2 linked regions of the Oreochromis niloticus genome follow. The protein of the gene in region 2 binds, or shares a complex with, the protein of the main gene of each other region. Links are inferred from orthologs where the notes say so. Each region holds a gene or a part of one and is shown on either strand. Other genes may lie near its edges. The genes, in order: pex5 and pex14.

The links.
Region 1: the proteins of pex14 (region 2) and pex5 are in contact, whole or in part, in an NMR structure (PDB 4BXU), measured with the Homo sapiens proteins. The link is inferred for Oreochromis niloticus from reciprocal best matches to the Homo sapiens genes PEX14 and PEX5. Residues at the interface, in NP_004556.1 of Homo sapiens: Thr31, Phe35, Asn38, Arg40, Val41, Ser44, Pro45, Thr48, Arg49, Phe52, Lys55, Lys56; in NP_001124497.1 of Homo sapiens: Glu59, Leu62, Val63, Glu65, Phe66, Leu67, Gln70.

Annotation. Positions count from the first base shown.
Region 1 is NC_031976.2:23,445,875-23,453,944, reverse strand, and holds the start of pex5 (peroxisomal biogenesis factor 5), read right to left. Parts: upstream 3,093-8,070; 5' UTR 2,862-3,092; exon of another isoform or gene 2,857-2,861; intron 1,908-2,856; exon of another isoform or gene 1,886-1,907; intron 1-1,885.
Region 2 is NC_031984.2:22,474,405-22,481,998, forward strand, and holds the start of pex14 (peroxisomal membrane protein PEX14), read right to left. Parts: upstream 3,025-7,594; 5' UTR 2,920-3,024; coding exon 2,884-2,919; intron 525-2,883; coding exon 474-524; intron 1-473. Other genes in the region: dffa (DNA fragmentation factor subunit alpha), read left to right, coding at 4,902-4,992, 6,232-6,390, 6,497-6,651, 6,853-7,057. UniProt on the Homo sapiens protein: Component of the PEX13-PEX14 docking complex, a translocon channel that specifically mediates the import of peroxisomal cargo proteins bound to PEX5 receptor.

The sequences.
Region 1 (8,070 bases), on a different chromosome or scaffold from region 2:
TTTAGTTTTACTGTGATAATCATGCAATGGACTATGTAGAGTGAAGCACCTCAATGGAACAATTAAAAGCTGCAAATCCTAAAGCATCCAGTATGAGGTCCAATTTCTAATTAGAAGATGACAACACTTAAATATTTGAGACACCAAACAAAATATAAAATGTTTTAATTTTTAACACTCCAAATATTCAACCCTGAAAGACATTTTTCAAAATTCGGTACCAGAGAGTAAGTTTTTAGAAGTTCAAGTTCAGTTAGTCCTTCACATTGTTTTGTGTCCCTTCCATCACATCTAAAAATAATTATTCAATTTCCTGACCCCTTTAACAGCTGACAGGCCGAGTGAAATCTTCAGGCTGCTCAAATAGCCTCATGAAACACACACAAATTCAAGCTCCATCTGCTGTTTTTCATTTCATCTTCTGGCTCTTAGTGAACCATTAATAATGAGAATATGATGGCTCAGCAGGCACAGGCATCCACAGCATGTTTCACTTAACTCATCTGGTACGTTCAGAAGATTTTTGCTTTTAACAGCGTTTACCAGGATAAATAACATCAGCATCACTATACTATTACACTGACTACATATAATACTATTTTATTTAAGCAAATCTTCTAATCAGTTGAGAAATGCTTATTTTGATAAATGCTAGCACAAATACTCCGGATTTGTGTATGCATTACTGTTAAAAGCTCTTGAGCCACCCCTCATTTCTTTATATTTTGTTAGGAAAATTGAAAATACATGTACTGGCAATGATTTCTTGAAATGTGCAAACATGCATTGAACTATAGAACATAAGCTGAAAAAAAAAAAAAAAACCACCCCAACAAGATTTGTACTACTCTAATGTGCTTTAAAGTTAATATCTGGAACTTTGTTATGCAAGCTTTCTTATAATTTTATTAAGTAGTCTTCAAGAATAGTTCTCCTCTTTGGACGTTGGCTGCCTTTTGTTCTGTTCTCTGTCAAGAGGATCCCAAACTGCTTCAATCATTTTGAGGTAGATGCTCTGGGAAGGACAATCCATTACTGATAATGTCCATTTGTGTGTTTTGCTATCCAGGCAGTGAATTAAGCTGCTCTCAATCAGATGCTTTCCAAATGGCAAAATCTGATGGATTTTCTGTGTTTAAAATTCCATCAATTCTGACAAGATCCCAGCACCACTGCCTGAAAGGGAGGAAAAAAGGTTCATACTCACCATTGTACCGCACTGACGACAGTTTGAATCAAAAATTTCAATTTGGATTCATCATTCTAAGATTTGCTGCCACTGATTTTCAGTCAATTTCTTGGATAATTTGGCATACCGCAGGCTTTTCCACTGAGACCAGGTTTTTCATGGATTTTTTCCTGATTCTTAAGGACCTGACTTTGAGATATTTCCAGTCTGCTGTAAATAGTTTTTTGTTCTTTTAGGCCTGACACTTCTTTTCACCTCCACTTGTCCGGTTCGCTCAAAAGGTTTTTAAGGACATACTGCACACCATGCTGAGACATTCCAAGCACTCAGCTAACAGCTCTTTGGGAATTACTTTGTTGAAGCAAAACTACTATTGTAGATATATCAGACTGTTATCATTGGCATTTTTCAAATTAATCTAAAGAAATGATGTGTTTTGCTACAGGCTGCTAGTAAAGTACCTGATGATACAGTTTATTCTTTGCCAAGCTGCTTGTACCAGAGTCGACACAAGACTGGTGCATCGCTTGTGTTAGGTGCCTTTTATATGCTTGAATGATGGATAGTGGGTCAGTGTTAAGAGACTAAAATAAAAAAACATTCTTCTGAAATTGGTCAGGTACAAATACTGGGCTAAAAATGAATGAGAAAAAAAAAAAAAAAACAGCCAATATCTAAATAAAAACTTTGAAATACCTTCAGAAAGCCTTGAGAACTTGAGAAGTGTTCAAGACCACTTTACTATATTACAAGAATGTTTGGCTCCTCTGTGAAGCAAAATATAAAGAAATGAAGAGCAGCATGTTTGCACAATACTCCATATCAGGTCTAAAATAACAGCTATATAAACTGCAAAAGTTTCAACTGATCCTGTTTCATCTGATGATTACTCACCTAAACATTTAAAAGCAAAATAATAAACAATACTGTGACACTGTTTCACTCTGAAATGTAGTACCAGATGTATGAAACTCTGCTGCTGAACTTCAATGACCCCTATCAATTACATATGCTGACCTCCCTGGAGAGGAGGAACATAAAAATTAATTCCCTTCCTAATCTCGCATGTGAGCGTCTACCTAAAAACACTTCAGTGACTATTACACAACACCTTACAGGTGGACTGTTGTTCTTGCTGTCCAGGCTGAAGATTTAAAGGCTACTTTAGTCCCACCGCTTCAAATGGCTGCTGTATTATGATTAGGGTCAAAGTAAGAGGATCAGACAGAGATATTAATACACACATTACCAAAGACGGGCCATTATGACACCTGTTTATTGACTACAAATCCACGGAGACGATAGGAATAGGCGAAGGTTGCTTTTGTCACACATAGTCCACTAGTTATAGATATCAACTAAACACACCTGCCTGCATTGTTACCTTTCTGGGAGCACTGTGTAATAAAATAGAGCTGCTCGGGGCTAACTGCAGCTTCAGCTACAAACAGCAACATTAGCTCGATAAGCGATACTCTGTGGTATTTATATAACCAGCGTGCTGTTCATGAAACCTAAAGGGAAACCGAGGACGCTCACGACCGTCCGGAACTCAAAAAATATCAGCTGTGGCTAGCTGGCTAGCTGCAGTAGGGCCAGTGCAGAGATCACTCCCGTAGTGTGCACCCAGCGAAGAAGCATGAATAGACGGGAAGCATACTGTTCACCTCACCGCCGACAGCTGCTGCTGTATCCGAGCGACAGTCCCTCCCTCCGGCGGTATGTCCTCTCTTGTCCCGCTCTCACACCTCCGTCCGAACAAATTTTCCAGCAACCGTCCGAAACCAGTCGCTGAGTGCTATTAGCTCCCCGCTTTTATTTACCTTCCTCCCCCATGACCCACAAAACCCTTCACCGCTAGCCTGGCTCGTGCACGTTACGCCGGTTACGTATTCTTCAACTGGTTTTACGCATGCGTAAGGAAGCGTTAGTGCCTGAAAAAAAAACAGCGTAAAGAGCCTCACGTTAAAATGTAACATGCCTGAGAACAAAGTCCGCTTCTCGGATGAAACATGTATTTGTTAAAAAAAAGAAAAACACGGAAGTAACGCGCAGTGCTGTGCAGAAGTCTTCAGCCAACCACCATTTCTTTATATTTTACTTCCAAAGAGCCTGATTTCTGTCTTTGATACTTGTTTTGAGGAATAATTCTCCACGCTTTTTAGAGATTTTCACTTAAAAAAAAAAAATAATTCAGCCCTGTTCTTATACCAAACCATTTTGAGAGGAACGTTTATACGTTTTAGCCACTAAACACTGATATATGAACCATGTAAGCATAAAAACGACACCTAACAACGTTGTGTCTGCATATACAAGACAATTTAGCCAAAAAAACAAGCTGTTTTATCTTTATGTAGTTTTTTTACTCGCAGTTTATCATAAAACCACATCATTTGTTCTTATTTCTTTACTTGAATCTGAATAATGCCTAAGATAACACAATCTGACAGACATAAGTCTGTATTTTTGCAGAATCGAAAAAAGTGCTATGAGTTGAAACCTGGTATATCTCACCATGGTGTGCAGTCTGTACTTAAAAAAACAAACAAAAAAAGTAGTGTTCAGTAGATGAACAGTATCTTAAATTAATGTCCTTACAAATTAGGAAAAAAATCCAGCAAAGACTTGACACAGGACATGAGAGATCCAGCTGGCCCTTCAGTTAATCCAGCTACTGTTAGCGAAGGAAAAAGAAGGAGAAAAAACTGAAGTATGTCAAATTACACAGGAACTGAAACGAAAATCAGTAGCAACAGGTCTTTGGTTCAAATGTGAGGATATACAGAGGATGTCAGGAGAGACGTACACAGTGAGAGTCTATCTGTAAACACAGTGGCGGCTCTGTCATGGTTTAGGGCTGCGTTTTAGCCAGTGGTGTTGGGGATCTTGTCCAAATTTATGGAATTATGAACACAGAAAGGCATAGAGTACCATCTGGAAAACATCTGAATTGCAATATGTTCATTTTTCAGCACTGATCCCAAACACGTCGCCAATAGTGTAAAAGCATACCTGGATAGAAAAACATACAATGTAATGCCTAGTTATATAAAACTTTGAGCTTTACATTGTGTGTCACACTTTAAGTACATGTCAGTTTTATATGATCAGATAATTTTGAATTGTAGGACATTTAATGTAAATTTAGTGTTGCTGAACTGATCATTTTGCTTAAAAAAGGATCAGAATGTTTTCTATTTCAGTTTACTGTCATTTATTTAAGTAGAAGCAGCCACAGAGGACAGAAATCTGGTGCTGTACTGTACCAGATTTGCCAAGCTAATAAGGAAAATAATCCTCACATCACACTGTGGCAGGTTTACCACATGGTACTAACACAAACAGCCAAGTTCAGGTCTTCCACATGTTTCAAAGTGAAAACATTTTCATCTGGGTTTAATATAATTATGATAATCCTTGTCTAATCATGCTTATTACAGTTCCTGAATTCTTTTATTTTTTATTTAACACATGTTAAGCTAAAAAAGAAGGAGCAATGTGTGAAAAAAATAAGCAGACCCACTGAGTACATGGTAATTAAGAGGTTAAGTAGCAGCCGGGAGCAGCCAGTTATTCAGTTTGATTAACTGCTGATGATCAATTAATCAAGCAAAAGGCCCTTGATTGGTTGATCACCATAACATTTGATCACCTCTATAAAAGTTATGGCAGTGTGCTGGTCTGTGTGCGTTAACACAGTGTCAAGAAGGAAAGATTTTAGCAGTGATCTTAGAGAAGCAGTTGTTGTTGCCTATCGAATGATTTGCAAGTGGAAAACTCAGAAAATGATCAGATAAACTGCAAAATGCCCAAAACCTACACCTCAGACTCTGCAGGCCTCTTTTAGCATGTTGAATGTTAAAGTTCATGACAGTACAATTAGAAAAAGACAGAACAAGTATGGTTTGTTCAGGAGGGTTGCCAGGAGAAAACCTCTTTTCTCTAAAAAGAATATGGCAGCAGGGCTATTGCTTGTAAAGTCACATCTGAACAAACCACAAAGCTTTTGGAACAGTATGCTTTGGAGAGACAACACCAAAGTAGAGAACAAACACAGCATTATCAGCACAAACACCTCATGTCAACTACCAAACACAGCAGTGAAGCGGTGATGATTGGGGCTTGTTTTGCAGGCACAGGACCGGGGCACCTTTAAGTCTTTGAGCTGACCATGGACTCTTTTATATATAAAAGAGAATCCAATGTGAGGTCATGTTCTTGACAGCTAGAGCTTTTTATAAACTGAGTCACGTAACAGGACGATTGTCCAAAGAACAGCAGGGAATCTACAACACTGTGGCTAAAAAAAAGCAAAGAGTCACGGTGTTGCAATGTTCCAGTCAAAGTCCAGAGCTCAACCTGATTGAAATATATGGTGAGACCTTAAGAGAGCTGTGCATAAATGAATGCCTACAAACCTCAACTGTTTAGTTTTTGTTAAATAATGTTTGTTTTTACCTCGTTTTAAGAACTGCTAAGGACTACATTATTTTTTATGTCCTGATATAAAGCCTTAGAACTGAAAGAGGGTGTTCTTTCTTTTAACCATAACCAATGTTTTTAAATATCCTAAACATGCTCAGATTTTTAGTATTTTTGACTATAATTTCAAAGTTTTATCATATATTTGAATTTTTCATGTAAACCTTTAACTAAACTTCTGAAATTGTTATTTCTCTGAGTAGTTCTCTACTCTAGTTACCTTTTTTAAAGCATATGTCTATTTCTTTGTTAGCTGTTTTCTAGAATTGCTGCATGAATGATTTTCTATATTTTTCCAATACTAAAATCTACTAAAAGCTACTTTTGTTGTTGTTTGTTTGTTTTATGGTTATAGCTTTTGCTTTATTCTTCAGACGTCTGGATACTTCATAAGATATTCTAGTATTGACTGTTTAGTCCTTGTTATGACTTAATGGTTCTTCTGGTGTTGACTGTCAGATTTGTAGTTTTGTCTTTATTATTAGTAATATTAGTTCTAGTTCCCCGGTGTTTCTCTGCCAGGGGCGTAATTTCCAGGGGGTTGGGGGGGGTTATGACCCCCCCCCCCCCCAATAATCAGACCCAATCAATAACCCCCCCCCATAAAATTATAAATTATCTTGCATAAATAGGCTGTTGATTTTCTTTACTCAATTCAGTTATTACCAGCAAAATAGTTGCATGTTTAATCATATGGGAATTTACCAAGATTTATTTATTTATTTAGACAGAAATCTTGATTCCCCCTAATTTTCAGCACAAAGTTACTCCGATGTTCTCTGCTGTGCATACAATAGATTTTATAATCATATCATAATCTGTAATATAAGATTAAATCTTCAGGGTTAAATTTCATGTACAAAGTCATACTTACAATATTGTTATTTGCATGAAAACCCCCACTCTAACAAGAAAACCCTCTCATGGAGACGTCATATAGTGTTTTTATTATGAATTTTGCAATGTTTTCTGACAGTTCTCAATAACAATTAGTCAGCATAATCCATGTTGTCATTGTATCAATAATTACAGGTAATGTTTGAATAGTAACATAGTAATAATATAAGTTCTTAATCAATGCAATGTTTATTCCTTCTTAACATCACACTCAAAAACAACAGGCTTTTATTTACTGACAGCGTTAGCACTGCACATTGATAGGCTACACAGACAGACAGCAAGAGACACAGAGGGACAGTGAGGGAGAGGTGAAGGGAAAAGGCGGTGGGGTAGGGAAAGGTGAGGAGTAGCACACGGTTGTACATTCATTAAACCGAAAATAACGGATGTAGTGGAAATCAAATACAAAAAGAAATAATAAAGAAATATTTTGAAATGTGAAAAATAATCGGCAAGAAGTGCGCGAGATGAAATGAGTGAGACGCTTCTTGGTATCACAACAATGTGCCCTCCTTTTTCTGTGATATCGACAAGTTCTTAAATTACAACAATATTACACACAAATTAAGAGACACTCATCAAGCCAGGGATTATCATCCTTATCACTACTACTATTATTATTATTATTATTATACTATTTTTCGATGCTGTTAAGGTGATTCTCAAATGGGGAAAAGTAAATGATGATCAGCTTTCTCTCCAAATGTGCAGATAAAGAGAAAGAGTGGCTGCAATAATAATAGTAATAACAATAATATCATAATAGTCATCATCGTATGTACAGAAAATTCATTACAATCAATACAATCAAAACTGCCCAAGCTGAGCGGACATTCTGGAAACAGCACGGGTAGCGTTATGGAGTGTGTCTGCGTGTTTCTGTTTGTGTGTGTGCATGTGGCGTCTTGCAGTTACTGTAAGAGCAGTGTGCAGTGAGTCAAACAGTGCAGTCAGAGTCATTTAGAGGCATTGCAGCGGTCACTGTGTGTGTGTGGGGGCTCAGAGGTCAGGTTACACCAGCTTTATTGTACGAGGTGATGTTTTGTCATTTTGTGTCACGAGCTGAAACTTTGCGAAGACTCGATTTTGAAGTAGAAAACACACCGAGTGGCTCTCAGTCTGCCTTCTTGGAGCGCTGCAGAAGTGCCAGCTTGGGTTAAGGATGAAGTGGACGCTAAATAAGTTCCTAATAAAACGTAAAGTGCTCTCACAGAAACAAAAGCAAAACACCTGCAAGCTCATCATGAATACGTGACCCCGTGATGTCGGACCTCACTGTCTTTACTCTGTGTGTGGACTTGGCCGAGGAATGTGTCAGGAGAGGATGCAAAGAGCGAGAAAAGAGCTTGTGCAGACTTCTCGGGCTAGTCTAATGAACAGATGTGTCAGGATCGAGGCTTGTGTCTACAGATCTACTCGAGGCCTACATGTTGCAACAAATTGTCCCTGTTTACATTTTGTAAAGATCTCATTCTGTGTTCGATAACAAAAGATAG
Region 2 (7,594 bases):
AATTGGAAGCCTTTAATACTGGATCTCCCTGGGGAATGTGTAATACAGCCAAATAAAAGTCTTTAAATTATCAGATCTTAGGGGGGGGGAGAGAAAAACCATCATAATCTTCCTCAACTATGCATCACCAGATCAAGCCAAGAAATTAGAAGATTTTCATTCTTTCAAAATCGCACTAATACTTGAGTTTTTGAAAAATCCACACTTCTGAGCACTAGTATTAAGAATCACAGCGTGTGCCATGTGAGAATATCTGAAATATTATTTCCAGCCATTATGATACCCTATTCATTGCTTTTTGTTTTCTTTACAGGAAATGTAATTTAATATTTGCATCGTTTGATCCAAGCTGCTATTTCTTTCCAGCTCTCACTTACATTACTTACATTAGCTTCATTTAATGTTTTTGTGGTTACAGTCAATGTTTCCTTACCAATAATTCATGTAATTCAGACTAAGGAATAAATTCTTACCAGTTCTTCTCTGGGGCTACGTGCTCCATCTTTTCCAGGCAGAAGGCCAGGCTGGGAACATAAACAAACATTTGTATTAGAGTGCCATCTAGTGGAAAACAGAAGTAATGTCAGTTTGAAGCTTGGTAACTATGGTCGCCCTTTACAAGCACACGGTATGTAACGTTGCTGGCTCTATCTATTAAAGTGATAGTATTCGGTTATTCAGGTATGGGACACTTTTACAATAATAGGCCTCACGGCTTCTTTCAGGCATATCAACAACATTTATGCAAAGTGCTTCAGCACTCTTTCGCATTTTGGCAAATTTTTGCAAACTGATCAGGCAACTCTTACACTTAAAAATAGTTTCATTTATTAGGATCCCCGTTAGATACAGACTGAACCCTGTCAGAGCCTGTGTGAAGTACAGAACACAATATTATCTGCTGCTAGATCCTGATCAAAACTGCCTGAATTTTGGGGATAATTTACTGTGACTGAAGTTACTTCTGTGGTGTCGGGTGCATAAATGTGAGCAACTCTCGTGCATTTGAAAAGCTTTTGAATGCATTGTGCTGCTGTATGATTCTGCAGGTACGTAATAAACTCAGAAGACAGAGTTCTAGAAACAGCTGCAAGCATCAAACTAACTACCTACCTAACTTCCTGTTAGCTTCTGTCAAAAGTTAACTACAGTCATAACTCAGAAGTTTTTTAACCTGTTCTCATCATGGTGAAGAGTTTAGCTTCATGCTGTACTCCATAAACATTTCCCTATGTACAGTAACAGATGGGAAACTGTAGAAATTGTGAAGAAGGGAAAATTCACAACACAAATAAGTTGATTGTGGAAGGGTATCCATTTCACTGTGACGTTTATGGAGCAGTGCTTGTAGTAAAATATGGACAGATTTTGTTCTATGGGCAGGAAAATAAATAAATAAATAAAAAAAGGCTATTTGTCATTTCCACAAGATTGGGAAAGAAAACATTAATGATATAAATGGACTGGTTCTTATATAGTGCTTTTCCATTTGAGCACTCAAAGCACTTCATTTGCCCATTCATACAAACACTTTTTTCTAGGCCTTAGCACTTTCTATGGAACATTCACACACATTCTGATGAACACATTAGAAAGCAACTTGGGTTAGGAAATTGCTTAAGGATACTTTGGCAAGCACACTTGAGCAACAGTCTGTATGCCTACAATTAGTAGATGAGCTGCTCTAACTCCTACGCTACAGTTACTGTTTAGAGAATTTTAAAAACAATAAAAATGTATTTAAAGTGTTTATTGTAACTAAGCAACTCACACAGATGAAGGGGAAACAGAAAAACTATTGTAGACTTGAACAGGCCCATGCCTGTAATGTGAAAATGCTTCCAGCCTTATGTCACGTTGAAACTTTTATTAAAAGTGTCATTGCTACTTATATAAAAAGTAACGTCCAAACATGAAACCAGCAAATTCAAGTGGAGTCAGATAAATATTTTAGAATATATTTGAAAGCCTACCAACTTACATAACTAGACTATAGTTATAGCTTAACAGATTCTTTTACTTCCAGAAATAATTTGCCCACACTGAGAAATTTGACCTGTCTGCTACGTGAATGGCATTTTCAAAAAAGAAAAAAAGTACTGAACTGGCACATGCCAGCATTCATTTGTAGATTTGTAGAAATCTGTTGCTCATAAACTGAGTGATAACTTTACAAGTACTTGTAAATACTGTCAATCCACACAAGTTCCTTGATTACAGTGTTCCTTGACTTTATTAGTTTCTGCATTTGGTAAACACTTTCTATACACTTAAAGCCGTTAGCTCTCAACTATGTACATAAAAAAAACTTTTATATTTCTCTACAGCATATATAAACATCTTTTTTTCTGAAAACAGCATCTCAGCTGTAGCAACAAAAAGTACAGAAGTCACGGGTGACATACATGAATAAAAACCTTCGGTGACATTTGTTTTCGGGGGGCTGGTGAGTTCAAAGCCAACACTGTGACTGCAACCCAACAGAAACCATCAGGTTTGTTTGCCTACACTGACCTTTGAGTTGCACCTACAGTTATCTGCACACAGTAAGACGAGGCTACACGCTCAGATGCAATTGTACAGCTGAATCGTTTGATGACAATGGCAAATCTAGTAACTATGCCCTATTATTTTCGACACAATATGGCAACTCTAAATGACGCCCCTTCCTGCCCACTTGTAAACACACTCATGTCTCAGTGACAACTTTTGACTCGTAACCTAGCTAGCATGCTAACTAGTAGGCATGCTAATCTCTAACTTTGTGAGCATTTCCAGGCACGTGATGCCAACGTTAAGACATCTAAAGCCCCGAAATATCTAAAACAGTTCACTACCGCAAATAGACATTAAAAAGAAACCGCTTTTAATGCATATAGAGACCTGTGTTGTTGCCTCAGCTTGGTCGTTGGATGCCATCTTCTTCTTCTTCTGTTCCTTCTGCCACACTTCTTATTCTGGTATATTTCTACCACGCAACATGCTTTAAGATGCACTGCTGCCTCCTGCAGGGGAGTACGGGACACTGCAGGATGAGTCTCACTCCAAAGTTTCACTCCCCATTCTTACTGTCTGTTATTGAAACGCTACAATATAAAAGCACATCAAGTTCGGTTTCAGCTTCCTCATAGCACATTCTCATGCTCACACACCTTCAGTAGATCTTAGACTAAGACTTCTGCGTGGTCAATGTTGATGACTGTCTTTCTTTCACTGCCAAGAAAACTTATTTTTTGTAAATTGTTTTTATTTGTTTTGTCTGTTTGTTTTGTTTTTGTCATAGTAGAGCCTATTCTACCTTTAGACTTAATGTCAGCTTCATCATTTCCTCAGCTGAACCCACCCTTGCGCCTAAAGAACAAGAAAAAAAATCTATACAACAAAGCCAACAGCTTAGTCACGAGGTGTGGTAAGTCCCTACTTGTTGAAACGGATTTGCATTCAGCCACCAGATAATAGCTTAATATGGCTTTGCCCGGGGCCCCTTCAGAAATCACAATACTTAATGAATTCACAGCAAGAAGATACTACTTATTTACTCTATTTCATAAATAAGAAAAACAAATAAATAAAACTATAAAGTCATTTGCTACAGCAACCCCCTAAAAGTCAGACCCCAAAATGCTAGACTTACAGCATTAAAAGGGATTGTTTCAGGTGACATTGTGATGTAAGTGGTGCATTTTTGGACCATATAATGCAGTCTTCTTTTTCTCTCTTTAGGGGTTGCCACAGGAGATCATCTGCCTCCATTTCATCCCATCCTTAGCATCATTTCTGTCACACAACCCTCTGCATGTCCTCTTTCACTACATCCAAGAACCTCCTCTCCGATTCTCTTCTTTTCCTCTTGCCTGGCAGCTCCACATTCAACATCCTTAGTCCAGTATATCCACTTCCTCTCGTTTGCACAATGTTCAAACCATCTCAGCCTTGCCTCTCTAACTTTGTCTTCAAACTGCTCAACTTGAGCTGTCCCTATCATGTACTCATTTCTAACTTCTAGTTTCTGATTTTTAATTTCTGGTCACTCCTAATGAAAATCTTAACATCTTCAATTTTGCTACCTTCAGCTCCGCCTCCTTTGTGTGTGTGTGTGTGTGTGTGTCAGTGCCACAGTCTCCAAAGCATACAGGTCTCAGTGCCATTTTATAAACCTTTACTTTCACCGCTGTTGCTATCCAACTGTTACAAATCACCCCTGATAATCATCTCCACCCGCTCCACTCTGCCTGCACTCTCTGATTTGGATGGCTGAACCTAGGTATTTAAACTATTTAAACCCACCCCCTTTTCAGTATCTGTACTCTTGGTGGTTTCACTGTTACACAAACACACATTCTGTCTTGATTCTACTGACTTTCATTCCCCTTGTCTCCAGACCATACCTCCACCTCTCCAGGCTCTCTTCCACCTGCTCCCTAGCTATTTATTTTCACCACGCAATTAACCAACCAAATGTCTTTAAGAAAGAAAAAAAAGAAAGAAAGAACTGGACTCCACTGTCAGGCCAGACTTTTTGGTCGCCATCTAGCGGTCACTTGCGGTAGTCCACCTTTAAAACAGGAGCTCCTCTGAAGGACATGCTATTATTCTCATATTTCTTATGCCTAGAGCTTGGAAATAGTTAATACAAGATTTTTTTTTTTTTAAAAATACACTCAAATTAGCGCTATAGAGGTTATAGCGTTATATTCAAACTGTAAACACAAACGCAGTTCTTTCTCCCGCGTTTTCCTGTTCGAATTGTTTTTTTGTATGTGCTAAACTACATATCCCAGATTCCATAGCGGCGCGGCGGCAGTTCCGTATTCGAGGATAGTGGTGGTAGTTGCTGTCGGTAATTGTCAGTATTAAGGTAAAAGAAAGCACAAAATCTGCTTCTCTAAACGCAGACGAGAATGACGGATAAACCGTGTAAGGTGTGTAATTTCACACGACAAAAATCGTATGGGGTAGTAGCTCCTTCCATAGATGAGCTTAAGGAAAAAGGTAAGTTGTCATGACTTTACATTCCTGAACTTTATCATGCTAGAGCTTCTCTTTAATGAAAGCTATATATTCATTAATATTGAACGGGTGTGTGACAGTGACGTGAAGTACCGTCTCACGCAGTCAAAGGTTGTGGGTGCTGTATTTAAATGTCATTTTAGTTTGCACTGGTGCTGAGCGCTAAAAGCGGGGTTCTCTTATTGCGAAAGTGAAAGAACTTCATATGTTCAGTGATTTTTGAGAGTGTTGGGAGGCACCAACATTACAGCTGAGGTGATTATTGCTATTGCTGTCGATAAGCTTACTTATCTAGTTGTGTGTGGTAGCAGCAGCAGAAGCAGCATCTCCATTTTTATCCATCGTGTTTAAACTTGCAGAAGCTAAACATGAAAAGTCATTGCTCTTCCTGCTCATTCCTAGAAGGCTAGTCACCAGGCGTTGCCCCCAGATTTTTTTTTGCATTTTTCTCTGTTTAATAAAAGTGTTTCTACATCTTTGATTGTTATATGTGTCAGCAGAGCTTGGAGGAGACAAGGCTGGGTCCTTGATTTTGAAGCCGCCTACATGAAGATACTAGAAGTGTGTTTCTGATTCTGATAAAGTCTCCTGTAACTGCCAGTGACAAAACTAGGGTGCTATCTGAAAACCCCCCTCTTGGTTTTGAAGCTAGCTTAAAGTTATCAATTGCCTTTATTCCTATTCAATATACATAAATAAATACTCGTATATGAAATATTGAGCTGGGGCACTATTAAACTAGAGGTGCTGATTTATAGCTGTTAGAAAACATGTACAATTTTAAAAGCCAGTGGAAGTAAGACATGTTTTGTATTGCAAATAGGAGCAGCTCTAAAGAAAGGGCTGTTGACTCTTTAAATGGACTGACTTGTTTGACATGTGGAAGTATGCTGAATCACCTGATGAACAGGTGGTGTCTGAGGTATTACTGCTTTGAATATTTGACTTATGGGATACACTAATACTGATTGTTTTCCTCTGAAATATGGGCGGCACTGTCGCCTCACAGAGAGAAAGATCTGTGTTGGATTTGCTGGTTCCCCCGCCACAGTCCAAAGACACGCATGTGAGGTTAATTTGTTATGCTAAACTGGACTTGCGGCGCATCTTTCCACAACAGTCAGCTGGGATATTGAATCGGATGGATGGATAAACACTTTGAAGTATAAAAATAATCTGGGACACTCTATAATATTTGTAGTTTCTCTGTTCTTTTAACAGGTCGACAGTGTCTTGGGTTCAACTCCAGTGACTCAGTCACAGTGGTCCTAGAGAATGATGGGACAGTAGTAGAAGATCAGGCTTACTTTTTGTGTTTACCCTCAAACACAAAATTCATGCTACTGAATGACAAAGAGACGTGGTCTCCACCTTGCAGGAGTAAGCAGGTTTACTTTTGTCTGACATTTTTCTGCATCCTTTTTATCATCAATCATTTATATCCTGGGAATGCATCACCTTCTGTTAATTTGATATTTACTTTTAGTTGATGGTGGCACAGCTTGGATGGCTAGGGATTCTGTGTTGCTGGAGACTGATACTGTGGACAGCTCCAGTACTGTAGCACCTTGGTATGAACTGGCTCAGCAGCTGAAGCAGGACCTGACTAGCATTATTCTCATGTCTGAGGCGGACCTACAGGTACCAACATTATATGTCAAGTATAAGAAAGTGATAAACACTCTTTCTTTGTCACTATTTTTAATCACATAAATAATAGGTCGGGCTAATGGGATGTTCTTTTTGCTGTCGACATGTGCTGTTGTCTGTGTTTAAGTGTGTTAATCAATCTAAAAATAGGAGCCGCAAATTGTATTTTATTGTTTTACTTTGCTTTTTCAGACCTTAGTGGATGCCCCATGCCCTGAACTAGCCTCTGCTCTGGGCTTCCAAGAGAAAAAGGCCCAGGAGCTCCAGGAGACGCTGCAGAGGGTTTTAGATCGAAGAGAGCAAGAGAGGCAATCCAAAGAATTGCTCCAGCTTTACCTGAAAACTGTGGAGCAGGAGAACAGACAACAGGAAGAAACAAGTCAGCCTTCTCAGGGAGGTACGGCTGTGTCATTTTAAGGTGGTTGCCATGTTTACTGTATGGAAATAGTTTGTTGAGATAAATATATGAAAATCAGATTCCCTGATTATTGTAGTGTGACACGGATACACAATATAAACTCTGTAACAAGTTAAGTCTTGCATAGAAAGCTGTTTCTGTGTCATTATTCAAGCTGGGATACAGAAACTCTGTGAACTACAGTACTGTGCAAAAGTCTGGAGCCACCCTTTATTTCTTTATATTTTGCTTCCAGTGAGCCTGACTTTTTTGTAATTCTTCTAGGTAGCCTTGAGCAACAGTTTTTCCAAGGCTGAAGCCTTGCGCTTCAGCTTTTTTGACATTTTGCTTTGTGCATTGGCTGTTTTTTGTACTCATTTTCAGTGCAGTCCTTGTACCTGACCTTTTTTAGGGAAGGTATTCCACTGAGAGGTTTGTTAAGCCACTTAACACTGACCTATGAAACAAGCTTTAAAAGGCGCCTAACTCGAGGGATGAGCCAGCGTTTTGTCTACACATAACAGACAGCATAGCAAA